Zea mays: one gene and its partner. Each later gene encodes a partner of the first gene's protein in a complex. Links are inferred from orthologs where the notes say so. Each region holds a gene or a part of one and is shown on either strand. Other genes may lie near its edges.

Region 1 (10,291 bases):
ACCGGGAACCAACGTGGTCACCGGCAAGTGAATTTTTCACCACAAGCTGACCTCGGATGGCTCCCTCGACGGCTAGAAGGCCAGTTGAGTGCTTCGAGGCTTCACCCAGCGTCCCGGAGTGGACTACAACGAGACATTTAGCTCTGTCGTCAAGTTCACCATTGTTCGAGCCGTTCTCTCTCTCGCCCTCTCCCGGGGTTGGGCGATCCATCATCTCGACATCAAGAATGCATTCCTCCACAACACTCTGACGGAGACTATCTACTATAGCCAGCCCACCAGCTTCGTCGACGCCGCTCATCCGGATCTAGTCTGCCAACTGAACCGCTCCTTGTATGGCCTCAAGCAAGCGCCACGGCATGGTACAGTCGCTTTGCCTCTTACTTGGCCTTCATCGGCTTCGTCGAGGCCAAGTCGGACACGTCCTTGTTCATCTATCAGCGCCGCGACGACACCGTCTACCTTCTGCTCTACGTCGACGACATTGTGCTCACAGAGTTCGCGATGAAGAACCTGGGGCCTATTCACCACTTCCTCGACGTCACCGCCAAGCGCTGGCCTCAAGGTCTCTTCCTCCACCAGCGCCAGTACGCCATCGACATCCTGGAGCGGGCTGGCATGTTCTACTGCAAGCCCTGCTCCACGCCTGTCGACACTCAGGCGAAGCTCTCTGAGGACGACGGGCCCCCGGTCGCCGACATGACATCCTACTAGAGCCTGACCGGCACGCTCCAGTACTTGACCTTCTCCAGGCCCGACATCGCCTACATCCTCCAACAGGTGTGCCTACATATGCGCACCCCGCGGGAGCCCCATCTCACCGCTCTCAAGCGGATCCTGCGCTACCTCCGCAGCTCCCTCGAATACTGTCTTCTACCCCCCCCCCCCTGCGACGTCGGAGCTTGTGGTCTACAACGACGCTGACTGGGCTGGTTGTCCCGATACATGGTGGTCCACTTCCGGTTATGTCGTGTTCCTAGGCGCCAACCTCGTCCCCTGGGCCGCCAAGCGGCAGCCCGTTGTCTCCCGCTCTAGCGCAGGGACCGAGTACCGCGCTGTGGCCAACGGCGTGGCAGAGGCCTCCTGGCTGCGCCAGCTTCTCCAGGAGCTCCACAGCCCCCTTCAACGCGCCACACTCGTCTACTGCGACAACGTCAGCGCGGTCTACCTCTCCACCAATCTCGTGTAGCATCAGCGCACGAAGCACGTGGAGATCGACTTGCATTTCGTCCACGAGCGTGTCACTGCCGGTGACGTTCAGGTTCTCAGCGTCCCCACTACGTTGTAGTTCGCCAACATCTTCACCAAGGGGTTACCGTCGAGTGTTTTCGCCGAGTTTCGATCCAGTCTCAACATTTGTACAGAATAGAGTTGAGACTGCGGGGGTGTTAGAATGTTGTTTACGTTTATGTGTATACCTCTATTGTAATGGGCCTTGGCCCACAACACTCAGCTATACATATACACTCCCAACCCTGATTAGGGTTAGGGTTTCTCATATTCTCACTCTCCAACTAGAACAGGATCAAGAAGGGAAACACATACTACAGAAAATCTATAAAACTAAAACACATCCAAAGCCCCAAATGTAAACCTATCTTTACCTGTGCTAGCATCCCAGCAGCTGATGGCCTCACCGGCTGGTGAAGCGGTTGAGAATGTTGCATCAGTTTTTGCCTCTGTTGTTGTGGTGTTAGATGTTGCTGGGGGGAAGGGGTATTCATCATATTGGTGCCTGACCTAGGAGAGTTAGCATATGGCATTGGAGGAGTGGACACATTCTCGAAATTAGGGGTTCCTGTGGTTCCAGGTGATGGCGCAGGCCTTCCAAGTAACTGTCCTCCGGATGCCTGCAAGTAGTAAGAAGGCAACAAATTTGAAACTGAAACAGAAATATCAAACATTTATCTGAGTTTTGTTATTGCCATTCCCTATGATATATAATAGCTATCCTATCAACACCATGGGAAGATGACTGATGTCATAAAAACAGAATGAACCAAAGAGGTTTTCAATTCAAAAGAGTGATAACAATAGAAGATAGACCCTTTCTAATATCATAATAATAACTCAGTTATAACAGAAACCTGAATCTGATTTCCCTGGCTGTTGACACTATTAGGTGCAAATGTTGACATATTTTTGGGATAACTACCTGCAAATACAAATAGAAATTAGATGTGCATTTGTCAAATACATCTCCAATGCAAATGCCAAAGAGTTAAGCATACAAGGAACTTCTACGGCACAAATCTCCCATTAATATGGCAAATGTTAAACATATAAGGAACTTTTACAGCACATATCTCAATGCAAATGGTCGTGATTTTAGCAATTGAGGATAAACACTAATCCTAGCACAATAGGAGTTCGGTCTATAGCGCATGAAAATGAGACAATCGACAGATGTTAAAACTCAAAACGAGGAGAGGTTCATTAAGAGAGTTTAGATACACAAGAAAATCTACATACCAGAACTATCACCAAAATTTTGTGCACCGTCTCCTAAAGGAAGCACTTCTATCAGATGGATAGGAAGAGATTGTGGATGCCTCTGATCTCCAGGTACCCGTAATCCTGGCATTCAGATAATTTTAGTAAGGCTATAAGTATTGAAATTGTAACACAAAATAGAAGTAAAAAGGACTCTTTATTTTGGAAATCTAATTGCATTTTTTATTAATATTGACCAAGCACTATGCCTTTCACCTTCACCATAATTTACTGCTGCTCTAAGTAGGCCTTCCTGCTCCTGTATCTTTGCAGCTTGTGCTTTGTCCAATGTAGGACCAAGATTTGTCCCCTGACGGCTTCCCAGCCCATAGCTCTTACGGCATTCTGCAATTACTTTCTCAGCAGTTTCGCATGCACTCCCAATCATGTCTATTCTAACCTGAAAGGGATGGTACCAGGTTCATTCTAATTAATAGATAGCCGATAAATCAAGCTAGCAACACATGCTATAGGTTTTCATTTTTCATACTAAATTGGTCACCTTTAATTTTTCAATCTGTGTAGGCACAGGTAGATTAGTTATTCCAGACAATAGTTGCTCTCTCTTAGTAGTTTCCTCAACTTCCATCTCAGGCAGCAGTTTTGACGACAGCATTACAGGTAGTACTGCAATATTCATAAGGATTATACTGCAACTCTAATAATAAATAACTGTACAAACCATTGATAGTATGCAAAATGGGAACACTAGATGACAATGCATCAGAACAATTAGAATGACCATTTCCAATACATTTTTGTTGGGTCATTTGCACTGTGTTTATTTATCTCAGAATAGCTTGCCATGAAATTAAGGCCATGGCTAGTAGAAAACTTCAAAAGTCTGAAACCTAATTCAGAATTTTGATTAGTGGACAACTGGAAATAAACATCAGTTGACAGTAAGAAAAATCTTAGATTGAATCTTCATGTGTAATAAAACTTGTGAGAAGACCCCAAAGAAACGGCACAGCAAAGTATTAGCCCAACTGGTCATACTTGTAGTCATCATTCATCCTTACTTTAGAAACAAAATCATAGGGTTTTTTTCTAAAAATATATGGAAGCATAAATGAATCGTATAATCTCATCATGTGTTGAAAATCATAATCTCATTAGGTGTTCACCAATACTGGACCATGAACAACGAAAGACTATTTAGTGTTGGGTCAAATAAGGGAAAATGTTTGATGGATTCCTTTGGACTCAATACAGTTGGTTACATAGCAAAACTTCAACACATAAACTGAGCAAATTTTCATATCAGATAATTTCTTCCCAAATTACATGCTTCCATTGATAATCTTTCAGAGAGGTTGTTGTTCATGTCTTGATTGAACCAACCAAACTTTTACAAACAAGGGCAAAGAACTCTTAATGTCTTTGGAAATTGTTGTCCCTGAACTGGAGATGATTTATTTCATGACTGAATCAGTAAACCATGCAACTAGAACATAACCAACAGATGTTAAACTCCCCTATGTTAGATCAACTAAATATTAATTATGATTTCTAAGAAAACAAATACCATTACGTGATAACCAAATTGACACAGATAACAAAAGATATATGCATATCCATAAAGGGGAAAAAACTCAGAACGGCATACTTGTTGCATTCTCGGCATTGACATTCCGGGGGTACACGACAAACACCTTGGACACATTCTTAATGTCCTCCACAATGTTGAAGAGCTCCATGCTCACCATCGAGAACTGCCCGAGCACGTCCTGCCTGCAATTCACCCAGAGGCAGCCATACCATACCAGTAAGCAATCGCGCAGCGACGCCACACGAGCAGAGGCATCCTAATTAAACCCTAGAATCCACTGCTGCCAGCCATCAGCCGATAGCCAATAAGAGGGGCGGGGCTGGGGATGAAGTTACCACTTGGGGGAGGCGCTGGGATTGGTGCGTATGATGACGTCAAAGTCCTCGAGGATGCGGGAGATGGCCTTGTACAGCCCCACCGCGCGCGCGCGCATCCCCTCCAGGTTCAACTGCTGCTGCACCCCCGCGCTGAGCCGCTCAACCCGGGGAGCTGCCTGCTGGTCCCCTGCGGCTGCGCCCGGAGGTGGCGCGCCAGCGGCGGGTACTGCACCTAGCGCGGCCGCCGCGGGGTCCATCGCCGGAAACTTGCGTTGGGGGCGGTGGCGTTGCGGCGGAATGAAAGGGGGTGGCCGGAGGCGGACTAATGGAGGATGTTTTCAGATCGTTATGGCGGTACCACCAGTTTGCGTGTCTGGCTCAGACTGACATGTGAGGGCCGGGGGACAGTCAAGTCAATTCTCTGCACTCGACAAAACATGTGTCCAGAATCCAAAAGTTCATAATGCAGAGTTCAAAATTTGGAGAAGTCCTAACAAAATGTATACCTAGATGAGATGAGCATACAGAGTCGTCATATATTAAACTATTTTTTATTTAACTAAACTTAGAGTTAATATACTTATACAAAAAGAGACGGTGGTATTTACACCATTAAATTGGTATCACTAAATATGTGTTTTTTGTGTCATCCTCACGAGTATACTGCCTGCAGCATGCTTCAAACTTTACAGAATTTGATGGCACGTACGCCTCCTAGTTCACACAGAGGAGCTGGGGCTAATTAAAGCCAACCTACAAGCAAACGGACTTTACAATGATAGTGTAGCCGATGCCTGATGATGCTAAGTTTGTTTAGCAGTTTAACAGGTATAGATGTCTATATTGGCCGGACAGCCAAATTTATCCGAAGCCTGGTACCAACCCGGCACGGCTCGCTGCGCATCGAGCTCGGGACAGCCCGGCACGGTGGACGTGTCGTGCTTGGGCTTTGAGGCCGGCACGTCGTGCTCGGCCCGACCCAGCACGAAAATGAGCCAGACACGGCGTCTGTCCGTTCCACGCCGCATAACACACATCGGCCCTGCCCCATGACGCACCCCCCCGGCATTCGCTCGCTCGAAACCCTAAACCTAATCCCCTCCCCTTCTCCCGTGGCTCCTACCTCTTGCTCCTTGGTGACCGACGAAATCTCGCCTCTCCCGCCGACGGCTACTGGTGACGGCTACCAGCGACGGCTTGTTTGGACATCTATACTCTCCTCATCTCTTCGCTCATCATCTTCCCTTCCTCACACCCGAATCCCAATAGAGTAATCCCCATCCTCGGCTCCTGACATCCTCTTAGCAGAGGTGTTCCTCCTCGCGGTGGTGCTCTCAAGGCGACTAAGGTGCTCCGGCTGCGCAGGTTATGTCCTGAACCCTAATCTCCATCCCCTTCTCTTGTGTATTAGATCTTGATTGGAATCCCATGGATGTGATGAATCTCCTAGGTATCGCTTGTGTCGGTGCCACGTAGCTGTCCAGGGACCCCAGTCGTCGGCGAGGAGCCATCTGTCTACGGCATGGACGATGACCTTCATCCGACCGTTGTGGACGAGGAGCACCGGCTAGAATATCATAACAAAGCAGAGGATGCCCGGATCCTATTTGGCAGTAGTGTTGCCATCAACATCGATAATGATGATGATGTCCCTGGTGCCGCCACCGGTGGTCAAGCGGGCACAGGATCCACGAGCCCGACACCGACCGGCACAAGCACCGCCGCCACCAGTTCCAGTAAGTGTCCTCTCAGATCTAAAGTGTGGCATGACTTTGATGAACCGACTCACCTTGTCAATGGTAAGATGGTATGGTATGGAGCCATTTGTAAGTACTGCAAGGTGACTTTAAGTGGTAAATCTAGTTCTGGAACTGGTCACTTGCTTCGTCATAATTGCTTAGCTAAGAAAGAACAACAGTGCGCTTGTATAGTTTGATCTGTGCTTAAGTATAATTCTAATGGGTCCTTGAAACATTGGGAGTATTCTCCTTCTGTTGCACGTATTGAACTCTAGGGTAGAAACAAAAGGTAAGGTCTCAGTTAACAAATACTCTATGGTAAGGTCTCAGTTAACAAATATTGTTTAGTTGTATGAATCAAAGTTTGGTGGTGTACGCTTGCGAGCACAACACCAAATGTGCCATGCTAATGAGGGTAGAAACAAAGTGGTTTGGGATGACATCTATGGTGATGATGATTTTGATTTTGAGTGATGTGCTGTAAGAGGAGGATCTGGATCGGTTAGTATTGGTCCCTCATCTGCTACTTTTGCAAATGTAGCCTCTATCTCAAAGTTATCTTCATATATGGACGATGACATTGTCTCCAGGTTCAATGAAGACTTCAACATCTTGAGTTGGTGGCATGAACACAAGCTTACCTATCATATTCTTTATCTCATTGCTAAAGATGTCATGATTATTCCTACTTCCACTATATCTTCTGAATCAACTTTTAGTCTGGTTGGTAGAGTGATTGAGGAACGTTGACGCCGACTCATAAGTGATATGGTGGATATTTTGTCATGCATAAAGGATTGGGAATTAGCAGGCTCACATATGCAGCAGAATGTGGAGAAGGATACCAAAGAGATGGAAGTTATCCATGAAAGCATGGTTCTTGAAGATGAAAGTCAAAAATCACGAATGAGTGTTTGGACTCTGGACTGTAACTTTTTTGTGTAGTGTGTAGTGTGGACTGTAATGAACATTAATACTTTAATTTGGAGTTGGTTGTTCTCTATTTTCCTTTCTAGGATTTTATCACGAGATGTGAGTTTTTACATATAAAGGTTTCTAACAAGGCATCATTGCACCACAGCTCGAAACATAATTAAGTATATAGTGATGAAGTTTGTGCTCTTTTATCTGTAATATTGTGCTATGGATTCCGAACTTGTAATTTTATGCTTTGGAATCTGTCAAACTGGACTTGTAATTATGATATGCACTTGTAATATATTTGTGATATGGAGTTGTGTTGATTTTTGTATTTTGGTTGGCATGTATGTTAATCTGAACTGTGAAAGTGTTTTTTTGTTTTCGGGCTCGTGGCCAGTCCGACACTGAAAGGGAAATAGGGTCAAACCTTTTTCCTAAATGATTTTGGTGGTTGAATTGCCCAACACAAATAATTGGACTAACTAGTTTGCTCTAGATTATAAGTTCTACAGGTGCCAAAGGTTCAACACAAACCAATAAAAAGGTCCAAGTTAGGGTTCAAAAGAAAGGAGCAAAAGAAATCGAAGAGAACCTTGGTCTGGCGCACCGGACTGTCCGGTGTGCCGCCGGACAGTGTCCGGTGCACCAGGGTGGATCAACTCCAACTCGCCACCTTCGGGTTTCTGGAAAAGCCACTCTATTATAATTCATCGGACTGTCCGGTGTGCCAACGGAGCAACGGCTTCCAAGTGCAACGGTCGACTTCAACGGTCGGCTGACAGGTGCACTATGCGCGGACAGTGCGCTCAGAGTCAGAGCAGCGCCAGAAGGCGCACCGGACAGTGAACAGTGACTGTCCGGTGGCCCAGGCTGTCAGAGCTCCAACGGTCAAAACCTAACAGTTGGGTGACGTGGCTAGCGCACCGGACAGTGTCCGGTGGCGCACCGGACTGTCCGGTGCGCCCATCGACAGCAGCTCAACCCCAACGGTTGGTTTGGTGGTTGGGGCTATAAATACCCCCAACCACCACCACTTCAAGGCATCCAAGTTTTCAGACTTCACATTCAATACAAGAGCTAGTGCAATCAATACAAGACACAAATTCAATAGAATCAAAGCCTCTCCAAGTCCCAAATCCACTCCAAGCAAATAGTGACTAGAGAGAGAGTTTTGCTCGTGTTCTTTGAGCTCTTGTTCTTGGATCGCTTTTCTTCTTCCCCATTCTTGTTCTCAAGCAACTTGTAATCAAGCAAGAGACACCAAGTTGTGGTGGTCCTTGTAAGAGGTCTAAGTGTCCCGTTGATTAAGGAGAAAAGCTCACTCGGTCTAGGTGACCGTTTGAGAGAGGGAAAGGGTTGAAAGAGACCCGGTCTTTGTGACCACTTCAACGGGGAGTAGGTTTGCAAGAACCGAACCTCGGTAAAACAAATCACTGTGTCATTCGCTCTATTTCTTTGGTTGATTTGTTTTTGCCCTCTCTTTTGGACTCGATTTTATTTCTAACGCTAACCCCGACTTATAGTTGTGCTTAAAGTTTGTAAATTTCAGATTTGCCTATTCACCCCCCCTCTAGGCGACTTTCAATTGGTATCAGAGCCTGGTGCTTCATTAGAGTCTAACCACTCGAAGTGATGTTGGGAGATCACGCCAAGAGGGAGATCGGGACCGGCGACGACAAATCCGCAAGCTCGGGGAGAACCCACTCGAGGGAGTCCGGCCACAAGCACAAGGAGGAATCCTCTTCCTCCATCAAGTCACAAAGGAGAGGTGACAAGAAGAAGAATATGAAGAAAGTGATCTACTACGAGACCGACTCTTCGTCACCCTCCACCTCCGGATCCGAATCGGCGTTCGTCACTTCTAAGCGCCATGAGCGCAAGAAGTATAGTAAGATGCCCCTCTGCTATCCTCGTATTTCAAAACACACTCCATTACTTTCCGTTCCATTAGGCAAACCACCGGTTTTTTACGGTGAAGATTATTCTGTGTAGAGTGATAAAACGAGGCATCACCTAACCTCACTCCACAAAAGCATATTGGATATTGTTGAGTATGGAGCGCAAGTACCGAAGGTAGGGGACAAGGATTACGATTCGGAGGAGGTCGACCAAATCCGGCACTTCAACTCCCAAGCCACCACTATACTCCACGCCTCTCTAAGTCGAGAGGAGTATAATAAGGTGCAAAGGTTGAAGATTGCCAAAGAGATTTGGGACGTACTAAAGACCATGCACGGAGGAGATGAGGTGACCAAGATCACCAAGCGGGAAACGATCGAGGGGGAGCTCGGTCGATTCATGCTCAACCAAGGAGAGGAGCCACAAGCCATGTACAACCGGCTCAAGACCTTAGTGAACCAAGTGTGCAACCTCGGGAGCATAAAATGGGATGACCATGAAATGGTCAAGGTTATTCTAAGATCACTCGTTTTTTTAACCCTACACAAGTTCAATTAATCCGTGGTGATCGTAGATACAAGATAATGTCTCCCGAGGAGGTTATAGGAAAGTTTGTGAGCTTTGAATTGATGATCAAAGGCTCCAAACAAATCATCGAGCGAGGCACCACCTCCACATTCAAGGTGCAACCCGTCGCATTCAAAGCGATGGAGGAGAAGAAAGAAGAGTTTATGTCAAGTAGGCTCCCCATCGACGCCTCCAAGCTTGACAATGAGGAGATAGCGCTAATCATCAAAAGCTTTCGCCAAATCCTCAAACAAAGGAAGGGGAAAGACTACAAACTCCGTTCCAAGAAGGTTTGCTACAAGTGTGGTAAGCCCGGTCACTTTATTGCTAAATGTCCATTATCAAGTGATAGTGACAGGGGCGACGACAAGAGGGGAAAGGAGAAGGAGAAGAAGAGGTAGTACAAGAAGAAGGGTGGCGATGCCCACGTTTGTCGGGAGTGGGACTCTGATGAGAGCACCACCGACTCCTCCTCCGACGAGGACGCCGCCAACATCACCGTCACCAAAGGCCTCCTCTTCCCCAACATCAGCCACAAGTGCCTCATGGCAAAGGACGACAAAAAGAAGAAGGTAAAATCTAGAGCCTCCATTAAATATGCAACATCTAGTGATGAGAGTAGCTCTAGCGATGATGAGGATAATTTGATTGCCCTTTTTGCCAACCTAAACATGCAACAAAAGGAAAAATTAAATGAATTGGTAGGAGCTATTCATGAGAAGGATGAACTCTTGGATAGCCAAGAGGAATTCCTTATCAAAGAAAAAATCATGTTAAGGTAAAAATGCTTATGCTCGGGAAGT
Region 2 (10,291 bases), on another chromosome or scaffold:
GGCATCACTTTTTGAGAGACCACCAGCAAAAGGGGGATATCGAAGTGTTTCATGTTAGCACCGAGAACCAGCTAGCCGATATCTTTACCAAGCCTCTAGCTGAGAAGACCTTTTGCAGGCTGCGTAGTGAGCTCAATATCTTAGATCCGCGGAACTTGGATTGAAATGTAGCATACATGTGTTTATGTCTTTGATCATGTTCATTCTGCATTTTGTTGCTTATTGTGGTGCTCAAGTTGTATAAACACTCCCTGGACCTCACAAGTCCTGTTTGCAAGTGATGCACATATTTAGGGGGAGCTGTGCTACAACTTGACCCTTTGAGACTAACCATGTACTTGAGTTTGGTTGTTTTAGTCTCCAAGGAGAATTGAAAGGGAAAAGGTGGACTTGGACCATGCAAGACTTCCACTGCACTCCGATGAAAAGAGTAACTTTTCCAAGTTCATCTTTATACTCTTATTGCCTTTGTGTTCTTATTTGAAGATTTTGGTGAGGCAATGGGGTTAAAGGGCCAAGATTGATCCCGTTTTGGTGCTTGATGCCAAAGGGGGAGAAAATAAAGGCCAAAACGATAAATGGATCAGCTACCACTTGAGAGATTTTGAAAATAGTAGAATAGAGTTTTTGGTTTGTCAAAACTCTTTTGTTGTCTCTTGTCAAAAGTTGGCTTCTTGTGGGGAGAAGTATTGATTATGAAAAAAGGGGGAGTTTTTGAAATCTTGAATCATTTTCTCTTGGAATGACTCTCTTTATGTCTTAACATGTGTGTTTGACTTAGAGATAGAAATTTGAGTTTGATTTGTAAAAACAAACCAAGTGGTGGCATAAAGTGATCCATATATGTCTAAATTGAATCAAAACAATTCTGAGTCCTTATTTGATTTTGATTTTGTACTTGTTCTACTTGCTTTATGTTGTGTTGGCATAAATCACCAAAAAGGGGGAGATTGAAAGGGAAATGTGTCATTGGGCCATTTCTAAGTGTTTTGGTGATTTAGTGTCCAACACAAGTGCCTAAGTGTAAAAAGGTGGACAAAGTACAAATCAAGGATAAAGGTATGTTTCTCAGACTTAGTACATTGTTTTATGAACTAATGTATTGTGTCTAAGTGCTGGAAACAGGAGAAATCCAATTGGAAATGTCTTGGCCCGAGCAGCCAAGAATCTGCTGAGTCTGGGAGCACCGGACTGTCCGGTGGTGCACCGGACAGTGTCCGGTGGTGCACCGGACAGTGTCCGGTGTGCCAGGCTGGTTCGAGCGAACTGGCCGCTCTCGGGAATTCACCGGCGACGTACGGCTAAAATTCACCGGATTGTCCGGTGTGCACCGGACTGTCCGGTGAGCCAACGGTCGGCCGGGCCAACGGTCGGCCGCGCAATCTGCGCGGGACACGTGGCCGAGCCAACGGCTAGAAGATGGCACCGGACTGTCCGGTGCGCCAACGACTCTTAGGCCGCCAACGGTCGGCTTCGCTATTTAAGGAAGGAAATCGGGCACCAGACAGTGTCCGGTGTGCACCGGACTGTCCGGTGCACCCGACGACAGAAGGCAAGAATGGCCTTCCAGATTTGCGCTCAACGGCTCCTAGCTGCCTTGGGGCTATAAAAGGGACCCCTAGGCGCATGGAGGAGAATACCAAGCATCCTTTGAGCATTATTGATCACTCACACTTCATTCTTGCGCACTTGTTCGACATTCTAGTGATTTGAGCTCCGTTCTAGTGTGCTAGTCTCTTGAGCTCAAGTCTGGGTTTTGTGTGTGCGTATTCGCTGTGATCTTTGCGTCGTGTGTGAGTTGCTAATCCCTCCCTTGCTCCGTGATTCTTTGTGAACATCTTTTGTAAGGGCGAGAGGCTCCAAGCTGTGGAGATTCCTCGCAAGCGGGATTAAGAAAAGCAAAGCAACACCATGGTATTCAAGTTGGTCTTTGGACCGCTTGAGAGGGGTTGATTGCAACCCTCGTCCGTTGGGACGCCACAACGTGGAGTAGGCAAACGTTGGTCTTGGCCGAACCACGGGATAACCACTATGCCATCTCTGTGATTGATATCTCTTGGTTATTGTGTTGTGTTGAGATCCTTCTCTAGCCACTTGGCAAATTACTGTGCTAACAATTAACCAAGTTTTGTGGCTTAAGTTTTTGAAGTTCTACAGGATCACCTATTCACCCCCCTCTAGGTGCTCTCAGGGGGGCCTTGGGCGAGACGGAAATCCTCCGGGGTCGGCTGCCCTTGTCTGAGGCTAGGCTCGGACGAGGCGTGATCGAGTCCCTCGAATGGACTGATCCCTGACTTAATCGCACCCATCAGGCCTTTGCAGCTTTGTGCTGATGGGGGTTACCAGCTGAGAATTAGGAGCCTTGAGGGTACCCCTAATTATGGTCCCCGACAATCTTCTTAATGTATTCTTTTGAGGTGTTTCTTTCCTCAGTTCCTTTGTCCAAGTAATTCTAGCATCTTGTGAACTACAAGCATAAACACTAGGAAACTCATTAGTTCACATATTGTGTTAATCATCAAACACCAAAACTCAATTAGCCAAATGGCCCGGATCCATTTTCCTTACAATCTCTCCTTGTTGGTGATTGATGACAACACAACCAAAGCAAGCAAATGATACAAGTATTTGAATGAAAGTATGCAATCTACTTGCTAGGATGCATGTTTGTCCCCTCAATGTGAGATTATGGACTTAAGCCTCCCCTAACTCCATAATTCACTTACTTCCTATTTTTGGACCAAATAACCAAAACCACTTGAAAAGCCACTTGTAGATTTTAAAATTTTAAATTGGTGGTGTTTGATGTTTGATACATTGTTCATTGCTTTGGTCCCTAAACTTCTCCCCCTTTGGTATCAACCACCGAAAAAAGAAGATATTAAAAGCATGTAGGAAGTAAATAATACTTGCCCTCATAAAGAATTTTGTCAATTGATACCAATTGCAGAATTTTGCCCTCATGTAAACTTGCCCTCATGTAAGAATTTTGCCCTCATAACGATCACGCGTCACCTAGTGTGTGTAGGCATATACTTTGTATGGCGCATTGTGCTGCCTTCCCCGGTATACGGGTCACTGTAGAGGCTCCAGTGCTGAGGTTTTTTCTATGACTGGGTTGACTGACCCCACATGGCAGTGGGGATACGCCTTAGAGCGTACGTGGTGGCGTTCAGTCGTGTCGATAGTGACCTCCTGGCGCCCCTTCGGTACGTTGCACATATGTCCGGACGTGGGTTGATGATGACGCGTCTTGTCGTAGCCATCACGGGTTAATAGCGTTAGGTTGGGACCTCCGCCTCGTATGGTTGCCCAATTTGGAGTTGGTCGACCGCTCCTCCTCAAAGGGTTGCTCAGTGGGGAGTTGGTCGGCTGCTCTGCTTTGCGAGGTTGCTCGTCGATGAGTTGGTCAGCCGCTCTGCCTCTCGACGAGGAATTGGTCGTTCGCTCCATCTTGCAAACTTGCTCGACGGAGGACTTGGTCGTCCGCTCCGCCTCGTAGGCTTGCTTGGCAGAGGGTTGGTCGGCTAATGGGCCGGAAGGAGGTTGTGGGCTTACTTTTGGTTACCCTGTTCCTAGGTACATGACAATTTACATAGTAGAGTTCTATTTGGTAGAGCTCTTTTAATGGCCCCTCAACAGCTTCTTCAAAAAGGCTACCAAATGGTGGGCTCCTCTCGTGGCTTCTCCATAAAAATAGGAAGGAGATGTCCCTAAAAACCGAGGAAAGCCCAGAGCCTAAAAAGGAGGCTTCTCTGACTCGACTCTCTCTTGTCACTCACCCTCCCATGAAAATAGGAGTAGTTGTGTTTTAACTAAATAGAGTGTTCTCCAAGGGTTACTAAAAATAAGGATCAAACTATTTTTTTCAGATGAGCCAGAAGGAAAGCCGGTGATGCAAAAATCCTACCAAAAGGGAGCCTCAGAAGAGTCAACCCACTTTATAATAGTACACATATTCAAGTTTTAAAATTATATATAACCTTAAAAATCATCTATATATTTTGAGCTTTTAAAGTGGGCTAACACGAACCCTACTAGATGTTAGTGTCGGCATGACATGATTAGACACTATAGTGCCGTGTCTAGACAATAGTACTAACACATCACGACACATTTACTAATAGTGTCTAATAACACCATTAATGCTGGACAGACAATCTATTTAGCCATCTATAGATGAATAAGGTTAAAAAACACTATCTATCTCCTCTCGTATCTAATATCTATCCACTATTTCAACTCCAACGCTACAAACAAAGGTATGACTATCGTACAACAACAGTTCTTTAGACGGCCATATCAGCTGGACACAGCCACCGTACTCCGAGATTAGCGCCCCCGTCGGCCAAACAGTACCGGACTGGCCGCCGTTCACAGTTCACGCCCCGCGTGGTCCCTATTTCCCGGCGAGCACTAGGCTACCGCCGCCGCCGTCAGGTGCCGGTGCCCAGACCTTCGTCGTGCCCATTTCACCGGCGACGAGCACCCACTAGGTATGCCCGTCCCTCCTCTCCCCTATCTGCTTTGCGAAACCGAGCACTCAAAACCTAGCTTAAGAATCGGATCTGATTCAGGAGTAATTGCAAGTATATGCATGTATTATTATGCCTACTAAATTACTAATAACTTCGATTTTTCCAATAGCCCCTGCCCGCAGGTGTTGGGAACTGGGGATAGAGATGGATCACCACCACCCGCAGCAGCAGCAGCAGCAGTACGGCGATCCTTACCGTGGGCTCATGACGTCCCCGCAGCCCGACCACCACCTCCACGCTCTTCAGTACCATCAGCCGCAGCCGCAGCAACAGCCGGCGCTTATGTCTCCACCGCAGCCACAGCCAGCACTGATGTCTCCACAGCCGCAGCAGACACTGATGTCTCCACCGCAGCCGCAGCAGCATCACCACGCCTCTCTTGCCTCCCACTTCCACCTCCTACATGTAAGTAACGGAGTGTTTGGAGTTGTGTGGAGTTTTGTGTTTTGGGGGCCTTTGCTCTTAGTTTAAGATAGCATAGATGATACATACCCTCAAATGAACCCTTCTTTTTGTAGTGATGTCATTGATGTTGTTGGAGTGTGCCCTTTGTGCACCGGAATTTCAAAATTCTGAACTTGGGATTTTGCTAGTCATTAAAGATTGTCATTAATTTGTCCTGTATTTGTTGCTCAGCGATTGCAATTTCTTCACACCATGATTTGTCACTTTGGCCGGTAGTGAAGATTGCCATATTATAGGTGTACATGAACGATATACAAGCGTCAGAGCGTGCAACATTGGTAATGGCCAGAGAAAATGTTGATTCTAATCACTCGAGTTGGTTTGACAAGAAATACATAAATTAAAAATATATATGAGGGCACTTTAGGTATTGTAGGTTTTCTTAAGCTGGCAATCACATGTCTGTATTGGCATCTAACATTTAGGCTTATTTCCAATGGCTTTTTTGCAAGTAGCAAATCTTTGTTTCCACTTTTATGATGGCTCTTCTTCCTTTTACTCTTTGAGAAAGTACTAGAATGTATTGTGAAATACTGATAGTTTTCTTCTTTGCATAATTTTGTTCTCTGTTAGTTGGTTACAAGATTAGCCGATGCTATTGGTACAGGAACAAGGGACCAAAATTTCGATGCACTGGTAAGAATCACCATTTACTAATTTTCATTTGTTTTATGGATCAATGTTCTTGTACTCATAGTGCATGATCTTGTCAGAAACAATAGTTGTAGCTTCTTCTAGGCGTGGAGCCTGAATATTCTTATACAGAGTTTGAATTGACATGTGATGTAATTCTTAAATCACTTCCCAGAGAAGAGACAGGTCACAAACAATGCTCTAGTGTTGGTGGTGCACAGGAAGCTTGGGACCAGCCCAGGGTGACAGGGTCTGCACGGTTCAGTTTTCCATAGCCAAAACCAAGCCAGTGGAAGACATACCCTTAGTTATGCAATTATGCAATTGCAGAAGCATGTTAAAATTACTACTATGTATTGTGTACTTCCATGCTGATTTCTTATAGAATACCAGCTAAACACCATATTTTTCCCAGCGTTTTGCTAAATCCTAATTCCAATAGCTACTGTATTAAGAGAAGCTTTTTATATATATCTAGGTTGAAGAATTGACCAGCCAGTTTGCTAGGTGCCAACAATTGTTGAACTCCATATCGGGAACAATAAGCTCAAAGTCTACTGTAAGTTCTGTTACTTCTCTTTCCTGACTCATATGCTTTATTCTTAGTGGTCTTCTGAATTTGATAATAATTACTAAGTTAAATTGAACTATTCTGGCTAATGAATCTCAATTACTTTGTTTTGGTATCCAATAAAATTTTCAATTGCACAAGAATTAAGAATTTTTTCCAGAAATGGATAATAAGACGGGGTATAGTAGATCTGTTGCAGGTTTTTGTGTTGTCTCATAAAATGTCTATAAATATTCATGTCTCTAGGCAAATCCTTTTAAAAAGTTAATTCACATTTATTTAAACATCAACAGGAGCATTGCCATATTATATAGAAGGCATGGGACTAAAAGGCTTTCTTTGGGACTGCCCCAACTTGATTGGAGCTAAAAGGCTTTGTTGTTGCCAGAAGCACTAGCATATCATATAAGAACTCAAATGTGCACGGTGCACACATGTTGTCCTCATGCTCAAACACGGATGAGGCTGCCCAAGCAGTCTTGGAACGTGCCTACTGAGCAACTCACACACATAGAGGCTTAGTCCCCTCTGATGAAAATCCCGTGTGACACCTGAGTCGCCCCAGTCAGGGATCAAACTCGGGTAGTAGCGCTCGCACGGTCGCACCGAGCGGCCTTAGTGCCTTACCACTGACTTACTGAGCCATTGTTTTGTTTTCTAATTCACAATTATTAGTTGTTAAGAGTGTCTAAAGTTTGGCTAGTTTTGGCAGTTTTTACTGCTGGGTTACTAGTACGTAATAACTGATGTTACTAGCCAGTAGGGACTGTCGGTTTAGTGGAGACCGGCATGAGCTGCCTTCCTTAAAAAGCCCTAGTTTTCCAGTTGATACCGGTGTCAGTGCTGTCATTACGATCTACAATATTTAGAACCATTTTAATAGACCTAATATTGCTAATTTTATATGTTGTATGGTGCTGGTTATTTTGTGAATTTCAAAGAAATTGGTGGAATATTGCTCGATCAGCACCATTGGTGATTGCCTGGTTTACCCAGTACCAGCTGCAATACATTAAATATTGGAAACATGTTTTTATAGCATGATTGCTGTTGATGACCATTTTAAATAAGTTAGTCAACAATGTGTATTAATGTGTTGACCTTTTCTTTTGTAATTTGTTTTGGATTAATGCATTATATGTAACAAATGTGCATATGCATTATGAATCTCACCCAAAAACTAGATGTATGTTGAGTTGCAACGTAATTGTAGTCCTGTCTTAAACATGTAAGAACCAGAACCAGTTATTGATGCTTGAAGTTTCAGTACTCATGGTAATTGCTGTATTTGTTACCAACAGACGGTTGAGGGACAAAGGCAGAGTTTGGACGAAACACGGCAGCTGCTTGATCAAAGAAAGTAAGTTCCGCTGTCTGCCTATATATTTTAGAAAACTACGTGTGTGTTGTCTTAGCGGCAAAAGGGAAAAAGATTGTTTCGTAGCTTGTGCCCCGTATAACCCAGGATGTATGGCCATGGTTTTCGAAAGATACCTTTAGAAATCCCAACCTAAGTTGGTCCAACCAGAAGTGATTGATGACCAACCCTTCAACAGTAAGGGGCCAGCATGACTGCTTCAGTTTGTGGATTTGTACAAGTCACGAGATTTACTCTGCCTTTTAAGTACGTTTAACTTACCAATGTACATCTTTCTGTCAGGGAGTTGATTACAAAGTACAGAGGCTCTGTCGAAGAGCTCCTTAAGGGAGATCAAAGATAAAGAAAGCATCATAAGGCTTAATATTTAAGGATTTATTGTCGTCAATACTTGAACTCTGTTACTTGAATTCGGTGGTATGCATCAATAGAGCCGGAAGATGTTCTGGAGTAAGGACCTGGCAGTGTGATACGGGAATTTGACATCTGAATAGATATTCTCCCTTGTCCCTCTGGTAAAAAAAACTGTTGTCACATTTGCCTTCGCTGTGACTTGGATGTATCATGTATATCTTTGACCATTGATATCTTGGTTAATCAGACGGTGCATTACAATCCTGGCCTCATTCATATACCACGATTGGTTTGCATAAGTAGTACCCCTCCGTTTCAAATTATGTCGTATTTTGATTTTTTTAGATACACTTTTTATATAATTTTCTATTTTAAATTAGGTGTTTTATGTAATATGTATCTAAGTGTATAATAAAATATATGTATCTAAAAGCTGTAATTTAGTATAAATTAGAATGGTGTATATCTTCAATGTATGACAAATAATTTGAAATGGAGGAGGGTATGAAAAGCCAAAACCTCCTAGAATATGGAATGGAGGGAATACATACAAATTCTTTGCTTCAGTTAAAAGAAACGAGAAAAGGAGGGGAATGGGGAATCGTACTTCAGTTTTTACGAGTTTCCAACAAACATGTATGCACGTCTTCCCTTGGTTGATGCATCTTTTTGGCAAATCTTCGTTTAATTGCGGCTTCTTTTTTATACCGTTCGAAGGTTTTCGTCGTCAATGCTGAAACTCCACTTTCACCACCTTCGGTTGCATCTGCTTGCTTTCAATTCACCTCTAATTAGTCCAAGTGTTTCATTGGACGAAGGTCCAAGTCCTTCAGATCATCTCAATTTTCTTTGATCTGAAACAACAATTTAAAATTGATTTTGTTACCTTGACTTGTCGAAGGCCTTCGAACGAACGGTACTGTAAAAATACGGTAGCTCAGATTTGTGATTTCAATTCGATTCGGGTCTCCTGGCTGGATGAAACCGATGCGAGAGAAGAAAAAAAAATTGTTGCATGTAGTTGGCGCCTGTCACCCAACCAAACCAGTAGTTGAGGCACGCCCTGTTTGCTCACGATCACGAACGTACAGCACTATAAAACACGCAGGGACTGGAAAGCGAGATTTCACAGCTGAAAGCAGCCAAAACGCAGAAGCTGCACTGCATACATCGAGCTAACTATCTGCAGCGATGTCTCGCTCCTGCTGCGTCGCCGTGTCGGTGCTTCTCGCTGTCGCCGCGACAGCCAGCGCCACCGCGCCGGCATGGCTGCACGAGGAGGCCATGGCCACGGGCCCGCTGGTCGCAGAGGGTGCAAGGGTGGCGCCCTCCGCGTCCACCTGGGCTGCCGACAAGGCGTCGCCGGCGAGGCCGAGCGGCGGCATGGCCACGCAGGGCGACGACCAGAGCTCGTCGGGCGGCAGTGGCAGCAGCGGTGAGCACGGCAAGGAGGAGGGCGAGAAGCAGGGCAAGAGCTGCCTCACCAAGGAGGAGTGCCACAAGAAGAAGATGATCTGCGGCAAGGGCTGCACGCTCTCGGCGCACAGCAAGTGCGCCGCCAAGTGCACCAAGTCCTGTGTCCCCACCTGCTAGGAGCCGAGGCCGGAGCTTGCCGGCGGCGAGACCTCGATCGATCGAGTGCTTCACTTCACTTCTTTGTTATAGTTCTTGTGTGTTGCCGTTGCGTTGCGTTGCGTAGACGAAGGGAATAAGGAAGGGTAATTGGATTACCTGTTCCAGATCTCTGTGTAAGCGTGTTGTCGTGACAAGTCATTTGATCCAGAGCGAGCGATGGATAGATCGCGCTCGCAGTTTTAATTGCAATGCTAGTTCAATATGTCTGCATCATGTTGGCAACTACATAGTCCAGATTCAAACCGAGATCGCTGTTTAGCATGCCAGCATAATAATATCAGTACAATCATATTATATTTTATACAATTGCACAATCTGTCTCTAGAGATGTAGGAATTCTACATCGGGTTATAGCATCACAAACCCAGCCCCATCATGTTTAATTCATCCCCATATTCATCCTCATACTTATCATAGGTGCAAAACTCATTCCATACTCATCTCTATTTGGGTTTAGGGTCTCCATCCCTAATTAAGGGATAACTGGATACTAACAACTAGCACAAACTATCCAGATTTCAGACATTACCACATTAACAACACTCATCCATGAACTATGATCCATTCATCCACCATTAAAAAAGAAATCGGTATTTCGAGACCGATAGAAGAAATGAAGTCTGCTCATGTTTCTTGGTCACTATCTGAGTTCGTTGGCGCCTGATAATCCATGGTCGTCACCGTCGTCCTAGGCTCCTAGTGATCGGCGGTGCTCCT

Evidence for each region. The genes of interacting proteins can lie anywhere in the genome.
Region 2: mediator of RNA polymerase II transcription subunit 8 (region 1) and uncharacterized protein LOC100276155 share a complex: the UniProt entries of both Arabidopsis thaliana proteins name them as parts of the mediator complex. The link is inferred for Zea mays from reciprocal best matches to the Arabidopsis thaliana genes MED8 and MED9.

The regions. Positions count from the first base shown.
Region 1 is NC_050102.1:151,799,095-151,809,385, forward strand, and holds the start of mediator of RNA polymerase II transcription subunit 8, read right to left. Parts: upstream 4,754-10,291; 5' UTR 4,620-4,753; coding exon 4,381-4,619; intron 4,228-4,380; coding exon 4,103-4,227; intron 3,121-4,102; coding exon 2,996-3,120; intron 2,894-2,995; coding exon 2,710-2,893; intron 2,578-2,709; coding exon 2,473-2,577; intron 2,156-2,472; coding exon 2,088-2,155; intron 1,851-2,087; coding exon 1,605-1,850; intron 1-1,604. UniProt on the Arabidopsis thaliana protein: Component of the Mediator complex, a coactivator involved in the regulated transcription of nearly all RNA polymerase II-dependent genes.
Region 2 is NC_050097.1:1,834,369-1,844,659, reverse strand, and holds uncharacterized protein LOC100276155, read left to right. Parts: upstream 1-4,331; 5' UTR 4,332-4,496; intron 4,497-4,647; 5' UTR 4,648-4,682; coding exon 4,683-4,943; intron 4,944-5,576; coding exon 5,577-5,639; intron 5,640-6,114; coding exon 6,115-6,195; intron 6,196-7,508; coding exon 7,509-7,567; intron 7,568-7,867; coding exon 7,868-7,928; 3' UTR 7,929-8,200; downstream 8,201-10,291. Other genes in the region: uncharacterized protein LOC100276560 precursor, read left to right, coding at 9,131-9,532. UniProt on the Arabidopsis thaliana protein: Component of the Mediator complex, a coactivator involved in the regulated transcription of nearly all RNA polymerase II-dependent genes.